Tribolium castaneum: one gene and its partner. The protein of the gene in region 2 interacts with the protein of the main gene of each other region in a pairwise test. Links are inferred from orthologs where the notes say so. Each region holds a gene or a part of one and is shown on either strand. Other genes may lie near its edges.

Region 1 (6,502 bases), on a different chromosome or scaffold from region 2:
GCCCCCAACCCGTTCGAAATCCACATCAACAAGCAAAAAATGACCGTCCTGGGCCAGAAAAACAAAAACGATCGGGGGCTGCCGGGAGTCTCACGCGCGAAAGCGCTCAAAAAACGCAAAGAAACCCTCCTTCAGGAGTACAAACTGCAAAACAAATCGAACAAGTTTACGGACCGGAGGATCGGCGAGCGGAGCCGCGACCTGACCTCTGAAGACAAGCTGATGGCCCGGTTCACCGCCCTTCGGAAAAAAGCGCACAAAAAGTCGATTTTTAACCTGGCCGACGACGAAGTTCTGACCCACAAGGGGCAAACTCTTGCCGAAATAGAGAAATTCGACGACCCGAGGTCGGATAACGAGGACTCGGATGAGGACAAGTCGGGTAAGCTGGACTCAGCGTTTGTGGGGGACGCGCACTTCGGGGGCGGCGTTTTGCGCAAAACGGGCAAAGAAGGGGCGAAGACGCACCGAGAACTGATCGACGAGTTGATTGCCGAGTCGAAGAAACGCAAAGCTGAGAAGCAACGCACCAAGGAGGCGACGCTCGAGCTCACTGAGAAATTGGACACGGAGTGGAAGGACTTGCTGCCGCTGGTGAGCAGGGCCCAGAAGGGGGAGCCCGACAAGGGGGCCGTCGACGACTACGATAAGGTCATGCGTGAGTTGAGGTTTGAGGCGCGCGGGACGGTCTCCGACCGGTTGAAGAGTGAGGACGAGGTGGCTCAGGAGGAAAAACAGCGGTTGGAGGAGTTGGAGGAGAAGCGGCGGGAGCGAATGCGGGGGTTTGAGCCCAAGACTCAGAAGCACCGCAGTGCTGACGATTTAGACGATGATGTTTACGAGGCGGATCCTGAGTACATGCTCAGCTACAACACGGAGGGGGAGGCAAATGTGGAAATTGGGGCTGAGATAAACGGGAAAACTGTTGGTGGGGAAGAAAGTGACGAAGAAGAAGAGTGTGAAGAAGAGGAGGAAGAACAGTCCGATGATGATTTGGCCGATCTTAAGGCCGAAACGAGCGACGAAAGTGACGAGGAAACCGAAGCCAAGGCCACAAAGACTGATGTTGTTGCAAAAACCGACGAAACGTCGGCCGACCTGCCGTTCACGTTCGCACTGCCTGACTCCTACGAGGCCCTCCAGCAACTCCTCGACGACAAATCGAGTCGCCAACAAGCCACGATTCTTGAAAGAATGGTCAAGTGCAATCACCCAAGTCTCGCCGAAAAAAACAAAAACGGACTTGGCACACTGTTTGTCTATTTATTGCAGTATTTGAACGATTGTGCGTCGGAAAAAAGCGCTGCCCGTTTGTTCGAAATTTACAAAAGTTTGGCTCCGCACATTTTTGATTTGGCTCAGCTAAATAAAGAAAATACCCACAGTTCGATGCTTGAAGTGATTAAGGAAAAACACGACGAGTTTAAAAAACGACCGAAGGATTTTCCCGGCTTGGAGTTGTTGGTTTTTTTCAAGCTGGTCAGTTTGTTGTTCACAACGTCCGATTTTCGGCATCAGGTTGTGACCCCGTGTTTTGTTTTTATTGAACAAATTTTGAATAAGTGTAAAATAAAAAGTGGCAAAGATATCGCGTACGGGATTTTTTTAGTGACTTTGGTTCTAGAGGTGAGTTTTTGGGTTGGTGGGACTGTGTTTAAACCACCGATTTTTAGTATACTTCACTATCGAAGCGGGTTTTACCGACTGCGATTAATTATCTCGGAGGGATCTTGCATATGGCGATCCCCAAGTGTGGGGTGAAACTAATCAAAGTCAATCCTCCCTTCAAGCCCACGACAAGTTCTCTAGTTCTTGTTGAAAAGTCTTGCGAGGATTGTGATTTCAAAATGGAAGCTTCTGATTTAGAAAGGGACGAAATTAACGATTCTTTCAAAATCAGAGCAATTTATACTGTTTTAAGGCTAGTTCAAGACTTTGACAATAATCTAGTTTCTCTGCCCTCAAATGTTGAGATTTTTAACGATATTCGAGCGTATTTGGAGTTACTACCGACGCGAAATTACCCGAAAAAGGTCGCCGATTTGTTTGAAAGCGTTTCACAACAATTAAAAAATCGCAAAGTTGAGCGAAAATTAGAATACATTGTTTTGGCAGCAAAACGACCGAAAGCGCTACGCTTATATGAACCTAAAATTGTGGAAGTGTGAGTTATCATTATTTTTTTTTTGTTTTTCGTTAGTTGATGATTGTAGATTTGATGGTAAAAAACGTAAAATTCAATCAAGGGAAAAAGCCGAGCGTGACAAATTGTTACATAAACTTAAGAAAGAAACGAAGGGTGCATTGCGTGAAATACGGAGAGATAAGGCGTTTCTGGGACGTGTCAAAATTCATCAACGCATACAAAGGTAGGCAAAAAAATTATTTTCCAGTTATGACATTATTTTCCGTAGTGATAATGAGCGCAAGGAAAAAGTTAAACGAATTTATGCCGAAGCTTCGATCCAGCAAAGCGAATTGAACAGTTTAGACAGGAAGAAGAAACGCAAGTGAGGCTTTTAGCCCCCTTTAGAATTTTGTAAATAAAAGTATTGTTTTTTAAAGTGAGTTTTTATTTCGTTTAAACAATAAAAATTACTATATATACATTTGAGTTTCATTTATCCATTCCAATTGAAAAAAAAAATGTTTGAATTTTTGTCCAATTACAAATTAGGTTCCCTAAATATAAAAAGTGAGGTTACCTCTAAAGTAAAAAAAAATGAACGGAACGATTTGGGCCTCAAATTCTGCGGTACCACAGGCACAAAAGTGATTAAATGCCCCAATTGCGTTGTCAGTGCCCCCCAGCCTCATTTTAGCCCCCTTTTAGTGACTTTAACTGTCACAATCTGGCGCACCTGTCCCGCTTTTTGACACTTTTTTGACATTCGTTAAATTTTCGTATTTTGGAAATCCACTCTCCTCAACATGCCTCTCCCCATATAAGCCCCATGGACCCCCACGACTCATTCGAAAGCGCCACTGACACCGCGCCCCCCATCCAGCTCAAACCGCGCGATTCGCGAAAATGCTGCTGGGTCTGCTTTGCCACCGAAGACGAAGACTTGGACGCACTGTGGGTCCAGCCGTGCAAATGCCGCGGCACCACCAAATGGGTACGTGCCCCCTGACCCGCAAAACGCCTCTAACCCCGCTTCCAGGTGCACCAATCGTGTCTGAAACGCTGGGTCGATGAGAAGGAGAAGTCGGGCCATGGGGGCAAAGTGGTGTGCCCCCAATGCCAGACCGAGTATATCATAGTCTTCCCGAATATGGGGCTGTTTGTCTTGTTGCTAGACACGGTAGATGGTGTTATTTTCCGGGGCTCGTTGTTTCTCGCAGCGGGGATTGCGGCCAGTGCGATTTACTGGACGGGGGTCACGTATGGGGCCATAACTGTGATGCAGGTCATAGGACACAAGGAAGGGATTGATTTGATGGAGCAGGCTGACCCCCTTGTGCTCCTTTTGGGGCTTCCCTCTATCCCGGTAGCCCTGATTTTGGGGCGCCTGATCTGCTGGGAAGACGCCGTTTTGAAGTTCATGAGACGGCATTGCCCCAAAATCCCCATTATTCACAACGTACTGCCGTTCAGGTGCATATTTTTTACTTAATCAAGTGGCCTATGCATAAATAATCGGTGTTGCCAACTTTATTTAAAAGTCACAGGTCACTTCGTTTAGAAAAAAATCAGGTGGCCTATGACTGAAATGAAGTTGGCAATGATTGGTGTTGGCATTTTTTTTGTCACAGGTCACTTTGTTTAGAAAAAAATGCGTATGTTTTTAGGGGTGATGTCCTCCAGAGTGATACAACGGTCGATAATGACCTGCCTCCAGTCAGCAGCCCTGTCTCAGCGACGCGAATTTTATGCGGGGCTTTACTCATGCCTACGATAGCGAATTTATTCGGAAAATTATTTTATAGTTCAGTGAAATCGAATTTTCATCGAACGATTTTAGGTGGAATTACTTTTATCACAGTTAAGGGATTTTTAAGGATTTATCATAAACAACAACAGTACATCCGGCAATGCCAACGCAAGATTTTAGACTACACTGAAGCCAATATTTCTACTTATTTACATCATAACAGAAATTCTGATTAAATTAATTAATAGGACAAATATTTTTTATAGGTTAATTAGTTGAGCATTCCTTGTTTATTTGACTTGAATTGATAAATTTCGATCAAGTGACCCGTGACGGCACGGGTCACTCGATCACTTGTTAAACGAAATATTTTTGCAAGTAACCAAGACTTCAGATTTATTAAAAAAGCAGTTCTGTTGAATAAAACATTTTTAGACAAATTTTAAACTTAATATGCGTTATCTTATCACAAGAACGGAATTATACACTGGCAAGTCCTAAGCTAAAGAGACTAGATAACAGAAATTAGATTAAGCCCTTCGCTAGGACAAGTCCGGTCCTGTGTAGGGAAACGAGTCAGTCCAGTACCAACTAGGCGAGGTGATTTCCTGCATTCTGAACACACTGGGGGCCACCTCCCTCAAGACCCGGAAATAGGAGCACTTGCGTGCCCCATTCCCCGGAATAACAGTCTCGTAAGGGGGCGCCAAAATGTCAATGAACGCCGCTGGGCCCCCCACACTCTCAATCTCGTGTAAATTCCGCACTTCGGGTTCAAGCACACAACACTCACTGTGGGTTTCTAGTAAATTCTCGGCGCATTTTTCGGCTGTTAGGAACTTCGACCCTGGGGGGGCCTTCCCGTCCACTTGCCGCGTCTTTTCAGTGTTTAGCGAGTAACTGGTGACTTTGAGTTTCCCCCCGACCACCTTAATGAGCCCGTGCATCTGGGGGTGGTTGTGCAGGGGCAGCTTCATATCGGGTTTGAGAATGAAAATGCCGATTGTGAGGTTATAATCCTCGTAGATGTCAATGTAGGTCACTGGGGCCTTGTTGGGGCGCTGCCACAGGGCCTCTGTCATGAACTGGGGGTGCAGGTTCACGTCCTCGGCGGTGGTTTTGTCCAAAAGGGCTTTGAGGATCTCCATGTTTTGGAAGAACAGCTCTTTGTTGGTGAAGGTGGTGACTGCTTGTTTCAAAACAGTGCCGATTTGACTCGTTAGCATTTTTATCAGCATCAGGTCAAGGGAAACAATGTTTGGACGGTTCTAAGGAGCGAAAACTGGAAATAAACACGGGGGCTATCGATTGATTGGAAATTCAAAGTGACAGAAATCAGCTGGACGCGGCTAAACGCAGGATGCGATCTGTCAAAACAATATTGATCCACAAATTTTGGGCGAAGAATTAGTTGTTACAAAAACCTTGCGTGTTATTTAATAAAGAAATGAAAAATTGCTTGTGTTTTTATGCGAGTCAGTACATAATTTTGTAATTTAAATAATGTTTAAATTTCAAAACGACCGAAGCGCCCTCTCTCAAAATCAAAAATTCAAATTTAAAAAAAAAACATAAACCATAGGATAAACTTGTAACATGTGTTATAAATAAATTGATGATTGTCAAAAAGCCAGACTTTGTTTGCTTTCGGCCCCGCCCGTTGCCCCAAATTTTCTTGGCTTGCGTCTATTTATAGCCCCTCAGTGCTATGAATGCGACCCAGTCCATTTACACCTTCCTCCCTGCGTGCTCCTCTCCGGCCAAACCCTTCGCCGATTTGGGCCGGCCCACGAAACGGGGCATAAAAAAATGCCCCAAGTGCGGCATCTACAACGGCACCCGGGGCATGATCTGCAAGAACAAGCACTGCGACGCCGTGTTCAAAGACTACGCCGACAAGCGCAAGTTGAGTCTGGACGCCGTGCGCCTCGTCGGGATCGTGCGCCAGGTGTACTCGGTGCGGGTGCGCGACCGGGGGCCCGACCACCGGGGCTTCGTCCAGCTGCCGCTGCTGAACCCCGAACAGGACGCCCTGTGTTTCGTTGATTCGTGCCAGAGGCTGTTCGACGACTCGATTCTCAAGTGCCATGAGCTGGAGCACAGCGAGACCGCGCTGCTGTGCGTCCACATCGACGCGGCGATTAAGAGCCAGAGCATGGCAGCCCCCATTGAGGTCCAAAAGGAGGTTTTGGCCTCGTTGAAGGTTTCGAAAGAAATTAAAGCGAAGCTGTGGCAGTTGGCCACGGAGAAAGAGGGGCCTCTGGTGCAGAGAGTCTCGCGGACCGTGATGGCGGTCAAGTGCCAAGTGAGCCCCAAACACCCCCTGGGGTACCTCCACTTTACCTTCGGGTGCACGAAAGGCCGCGAGATTTACGACAAGTATTACTGCAGTTGTACCGAATTTATGGGTAGCTTTTGCGAGTCAGTGGGACGTTTCGGTGATTTTTGGACCAGTTTCAGGGATTATAAGCAAGGCGAGCAATGTCCGACTCAAATGTGTGCACTATTATGCGTGCATTTGTGCCCTTGCCAGCGACCCGAAATGTGCGCAAGAGTTTAGTCATTTCATTAATTACGAATTGGAGAACGGCTCCGAAGGGCCACAAGTTGAAAGTGTTAAAAGCACG
Region 2 (6,048 bases):
AACAATTAAGGCACTGGGTAAAATTGGTACATTGGTAAAGATGATGAAATTGTCGATAAATAAAAACTGATCTGGATAATTTTTCTTTTTTTCTTAGAAGTATTTACCTACTTATAGTATTTTACGACAAAAATTGTTGGGGGTTTCGACAATAGACCATAACTACCTTTTTCTGTAAAAACTTTCCAGAAAACCATTGCTGTAAAAACTATACTTCCAAATACACGTAAAAGATAAAAATTCAGGAACTTTTGTGAGGTAATGATAATTTAAGAACATCCAAATATTGTAATTGATTGATTTCTCGTTAAAAGTTTTTTGTTGTTGTTATTGAATTGAAAACAAATTACAATCATTCCCCTAATCATTTAAAAATCAATAGTAGAAAGCCAGATTAGATTGTTCAAGATAATAAAAATAATTATTTCAACTCTTTATTATTTTTCAAAAACGTACCTATTTTTCCTGTATCTCAAGAACCACTAGTATCACACAAAAATCAGCGTTGATAGAAATTTCAGTTTCTTGTACCTATTAATTAATTAAATAAATCGCTAAACAAGACATTGTTTATTATTTTTAATGATCATTAGAAATAATGAAACAATTTTGTCAACATTCTAAAACTATAAACGATGTTTCAATGTTGTTTTGTGTAAAAAATACATAAAACATTGTCAAAAATTAAGTAGAAATCAAATTTTCTAGCTCACATTTGCCATTTAATTGAAATAAAATTTTAATTCGATTTGACTTTTTGTCATTTTTTTAATGTATTTTGCACAAAAGACATGAAAAAAATCTTTAGGAAGGGATTCTCGAAAGCAAAAGACCAAAATAACTCCATTGGCAGAGGTCTGAGGTATACAACAGATGCCTGACTCCAGGGGAATTCTAATAATAAACATTGATTTAAGTCCTTTTGTTCTTAAGCAGTAATATAAATTTACAGAAATAGTAGCAGTAATATTAACAATAGTACTACATTATTTTATTACAAACAAGCGCCTGGAAATTGCACTACGGGTGAGGATTCAAAAGCTCAGAAGGTTACATAACCAAGAGTCACAACCTCGTAGTTATTAAAATAGTGGAGTCCGAGGGTGTAATAAAATTCCTACCAAAGTTTTTTCTAACAAATACCTATTAAATGGTACCACAGCAAATTGTTATCCGATTAAGCGATGGAATATTTAGTATAGTTATTTCGTCTAAATTAAAATATTTGTTTTCACACAGTGTAATTGGAACTCTTTTTTTATTGTGCCCATTTATAGTCTTTATGATTTATAAAAAGATTCACTTAATACTTATATTGGTTCACATTTTCTTACCTGTGGAATTTCTCCAACTGCTTCCGGCCCCTGCTGGAACTTCAGGTTTTGGTTTTTCGGGATTCATACCAAATTAATAGCAGGTAATAATTAAGTAACAAAGTACAAGGCTCATCAAGACAAAGACAAAGGTAAAATTAATATTGCACGTTGCAACACACTTTATCCAGACAATGACGATGACGTGTTACCAAATTGCATTTGAACCAATGTACTTTTATTCAAACCTTCTTAGCCTTTATGGTTTATATTCACTTCAAAAAAAAACACTACCGCAGCTACTACCAAAAACAAAAGGTAACCCAGAAGAGCCTTTTAGTACATCATCAAAATTTTGTATCTGAGTTCGTGCTTAGATACGTCTTTAAATCGAAAATTTAATTTTGCTGCACCCACATGACACGTAACATACTATTTCGAATGCGCTTTGATAAATGTCAAGTGATTGTCTTCACATATGTGGGTAAATCCCCGACCACGCCTTTAATACCAACCTAACGAAAATTAGGTGCGTGTATGTTGGGTTGCGTTTATTTTCTCCTAATTTTTTTTTCTCATTTATTTATCAGAAACGAGTCCGATAATTAAGGAATCCTTTAAAACAAAGATTTTTCGGTTTTGATTTTGTTAATTGATAGACGTAAAATTTGTACACGGGTAAGAAATAAGCAACAGCCCAGGGCGGGTTTAAAATATTAATTTTAACTCTTATATTTAATTAATTACAACACAACATCTGGAGGACAGGCACTATGTAAAAACTGTTAATCCAATTCTAAAGATATTTTATAATTAGCTTTGTCATAATAAATAACATCTATTAAAAATTTAAAACTAACAGCATCCAGCGTAACAGAATCATTAAAATCACAAGACCATAAGTTATTTATATAGTTTCATACAGAATCATCTGAAACATAAAATAATCAGGAATTGTGGGTTACATTATAGGAGATAATACCGTGATACCACCACTTTGTCTTCTTTGGATTTTTATTGCAAGTTTTTACATAGAAAGCATTATCGGGAGGTCTTTGCTGTAAAACAAGATTAAAAATACTGTAATACTAAATAAGGTCTCACCTTTTCTTTACAACTACTGAGCATAGAAACAATTGAAAGACAAACAGACTGAACAGACAGTGCAGGAGACCAATCATCTGTTAATATGGAAAGGCAAATATGTCCATTGCTGTAAATATGCGGGTGAACTGGAATGTTATTGCCTACAAACGTCACCTGGAACGCAAACAATATAAACACAATACTAGTCTAACAAAAAATCCCATACTTCTGGTGAATCAAAGGGATATTTGTTACTAAATTTAAACTGCAATTGAAAACGTTCTCCTTCGTACAATGTACCTGCAGCCCCTTCCATATTAATGATCCAACTAGAAGTCATGTATTTAGCATTGTTATTGGCAGTTTATTGCTAACTTACTGCAATAAATTTTGCTCTGCCAGATCGAAGTCGACTTCAACTCCTGGTGGAGGTTCTTTCATCAGTGACATGAGCTCCTTTTGCAACCTTCTCTAAATTGAGAGATTTCGTGAAGAGGTTAGAAAAACAATGCAATTTACTTACTTCAGACGGCGACAACCCTGCCATTTTGGAATTAACTTTTCATCATACCACAGATTAGATTGTGAGATTTTAACTGAACACAGATCAACAGACTTTAATTTAGCTTCAAATAAATAGCCAAAAACTTACTTTTGACGTTCAAAACAACCGACCAAATTACCTACTGTCCCCCAATGCTCCTCAATTCACGAACAATGGACAGATAACCATGGTTCCAAAGTAAATAATTCTATTATTCATTCCCGCCAGTGGCGGAGAGACCATGGGGACAAATCGAGGATTTTTTTGCCAGCCTCAACGATTTGTCTTATGTATACACTACTATAGAAAAACCAAGACCCAAGTGCCCTATGGTGAACGCTTTTTTAAAAGATTCATCAAAAGTGTCGAATTTTTTTAATACCACAATTTGACTGATTTGATTTTCCGCTATGTCACAGAAAAGTTATATTTCTATTTTCGGTTTGACAACTCATATAAAAGTTAATGCCAAGAGTACCAAATTTCTACTACAATGGTTTTTATGAAAGTGAACCGAATATAGTTGTCTATTAATAAGGGCTTAATCCTAAATATAAAATAAAACGTTATTAAAAAAAAACTAATTTTGGTTCATTTTCATAAAAAACATTGTGGCGGAATTAACTAAGATTTTACTATGACAACTCATATAAAAGTTAATGCCAAGAGTACCCAATTTCCACCAAAATGTTTTTTTATAAAAATGAACTGAATGTAAAATTTGGTCCGGTAGTACTTGAATTGCAGAGTGTTAAGAAGTTGTTTTTTACTTAATTATTGACCGGAATTAGCAGGAAAGCAAATATATATATTCATTTCAGTTTACAGTAGAATTTTGCAACAGCATTTTTTGATTAAAAGGAGCACAAATTGAGAGTTTTTGGTGGGTTTTCTTAGCTCAAAGTGTGTCGCTGAGATTAAGTTTAACATAGATTTTTTTTCCTAAACAAAAACTCCATGGAGCGCAGCGACATTTGACGTAAGTTGGCTATGATTGTTTTATACAATATTTGATAACCACCCGGTGGATTTCTAAAACAAATGTAAAATTTAAATTGGGAAGCAAATAGTACTGCTTGTGGTAGTGCTTTTATTATTATTATCACAGTTATTATCTGTATTATGAAAAAAATTTCGCACGCCTATGCCTATGCCCTATCCTTGAAAATGACGTTTAGCGTTTGGTGATTTTGTGACTAACTTCACCATTATTGTGGTTGAAGGTTTTTTTGATTATTTGTAAGGTGCAAAAATGCGATGACGTTTGTTTCTAAATAGTCTTAAGATAATTGTTATTCAACTGTAAGACCGGTGGTATTGAATGATATTGGTTGATTAATTGAAAATATTTTAGTAAATAAGTACAAAAAGCGAATGATGTAGATAGAGACTCATCGGCTGCATAACAATGAATCTTGGGGGTGTTATCCGACTAAACAAGACAGGGCTGTGTGTAATATCGGGAGCTGTGCTGATATTGTTTATTTACGTGTTTACTACAAGTTCAAATAATGATCCTCCAAGCGTTAAGATAAATTTAAAGCAGCTCTTGGAGGTAGCAATTAAGGCAGCGGAAAATGGGGGCAAAGAAGTGGTTGCGAACAAGGACAATTTACAAGTAAAAAGCAAAGGGTTGACGAAAGAAGGAATGCAAGATAGGGTCACCACTGCAGATTATTCGTCACACTGTGCTATTATGAAAACTTTGAAACATGCATATCCCACCCTGCATATAATTTCAGAGGAGAAAAAGGTCCAGTGTGACGACAGAGAAATCGATTACTTGGGACATGTAACCATTCCTAAGAGCTTAGATGACCATTTGGAAGAAATTAGGGATATTTCTGTATGGATTGATCCACTAGATGCAACTTATGAATACACTGGTACTGTACTAAATACTTGCATTTTAAGCATTTGTTAAGTGAATCTTTGTTAGGAAAATTGTACAAGTATGTGACTACAATGGTTTGCGTTGCTGTAAAAGAAGAACCTGTTATTGGTGTCATTCACAAACCTTTTAACACTGAATCTCACACATTTTGGGCATGGGTTGGCAAAGCAAAATCTTCAAACTTAAAATATGCGGTAGGTATACAACACTGTCACATGGTGATCAGGTTATAAATTTGTCTTTTAGAGGAGCAAGAGTGAAAATATAAAGATTATAATCTCAATGTCGCACAGCGGTGAAATAAAGAAAGTTTTGAGTGAAAAAATGAAAAATGTGGACATAATTGAAGCCGCCGGTGCTGGCTATAAAGCTTTGGAAGTTGCCTTGGGCAATGTGGACGCTTATTTGCACACAACTGCCATCAAGAAGTGGGATATTTGTGCAGGAAACGCTATAATAAAGGCAGTGGGAGGTAAAATGACAACGAAATTTAACGAATTAATTGATTATAAAGATGATACCAGTGTTAAGAATGAGAAGGGTTTAGTAGTCACTATAACCAACCATGACATGTTCATTGGAAAATTTTAATTGTACATAAGTCTTGAATTTGTTTTAAAGAGTTTTGTTACGTGTGATTAAAAAGTAAATTTTGTAAGGCGTTCAAATGTTTAAATTTTTTAGGAATTTGTTGTTTTTTCAGCGTAGTAGGTACTAAAAAACGGTAAGGAAACATTTTTAGCCCACAAATCTGTTAATGTGTTAAACAATGCACAAGTACATGACCGACATTTTAGGAATAAACCCACTATGACAAAAATTTTGTAAATAGAAAAATTCTAACGCGTCCTATGGTAAAACTCGTAACATTTCGACGCAGTTGATTCAAATTTCAACTTGTTTAAAAAAACACTACAGAAGTAGTGACTGCTACTCGTGACTGATATTCTCATTTTTAAAAATTTGTGCAACTCGGGTGTTTTGGTTTTTTGCTAAAATTTGAAAAATTTTAAAATAGATTTTTGAGCTGGATCATAGGAATGCAAAAAAGAAAAACATGTAAAGACCATTTTCTGTTCCTGTGATTTTAAAACACATTCTGGTTAAACATTAATGTAAAACTACAATTTTAATCGAATGGTTAGGCAATACACAACACTATTCTGTATAATTGGTTGCCTAAAAATAACATTTACAATTTTTATTTTAAA

Evidence for each region.
Region 1: the proteins of ubiquitin-conjugating enzyme E2 W (region 2) and E3 ubiquitin-protein ligase MARCHF5 interact in binary tests that used the Homo sapiens proteins (3 or more experiments, as listed by UniProt). The link is inferred for Tribolium castaneum from reciprocal best matches to the Homo sapiens genes UBE2W and MARCHF5.

Annotation. Positions count from the first base shown.
Region 1 is NC_087395.1:24,412,294-24,418,795, forward strand, and holds E3 ubiquitin-protein ligase MARCHF5, read left to right. Parts: upstream 1-2,715; 5' UTR 2,716-2,954; coding exon 2,955-3,119; intron 3,120-3,164; coding exon 3,165-3,598; intron 3,599-3,792; coding exon 3,793-4,111; 3' UTR 4,112-4,315; downstream 4,316-6,502. Other genes in the region: l(3)07882 (nucleolar protein 14 homolog), read left to right, coding at 1-1,626, 1,674-2,164, 2,214-2,369, 2,415-2,514; 2-aminoethanethiol dioxygenase, read right to left, coding at 4,418-5,113; uncharacterized protein C2orf42 homolog, read left to right, coding at 5,584-6,283, 6,330-6,502. UniProt on the Homo sapiens protein: Mitochondrial E3 ubiquitin-protein ligase that plays a crucial role in the control of mitochondrial morphology by acting as a positive regulator of mitochondrial fission and as an important regulator of immune response.
Region 2 is NC_087394.1:30,471,928-30,477,975, reverse strand, and holds ubiquitin-conjugating enzyme E2 W, read right to left. Parts: upstream 3,210-6,048; 5' UTR 3,052-3,209; intron 2,996-3,051; 5' UTR 2,947-2,995; coding exon 2,923-2,946; intron 2,871-2,922; coding exon 2,779-2,870; intron 2,729-2,778; coding exon 2,626-2,728; intron 2,574-2,625; coding exon 2,418-2,573; intron 2,372-2,417; coding exon 2,296-2,371; intron 2,245-2,295; coding exon 2,231-2,244; 3' UTR 2,030-2,230; downstream 1-2,029. Other genes in the region: NFX1-type zinc finger-containing protein 1, read right to left, coding at 1,335-1,401; putative inositol monophosphatase 3, read left to right, coding at 4,352-4,829, 4,883-5,031, 5,084-5,428. UniProt on the Homo sapiens protein: Accepts ubiquitin from the E1 complex and catalyzes its covalent attachment to other proteins.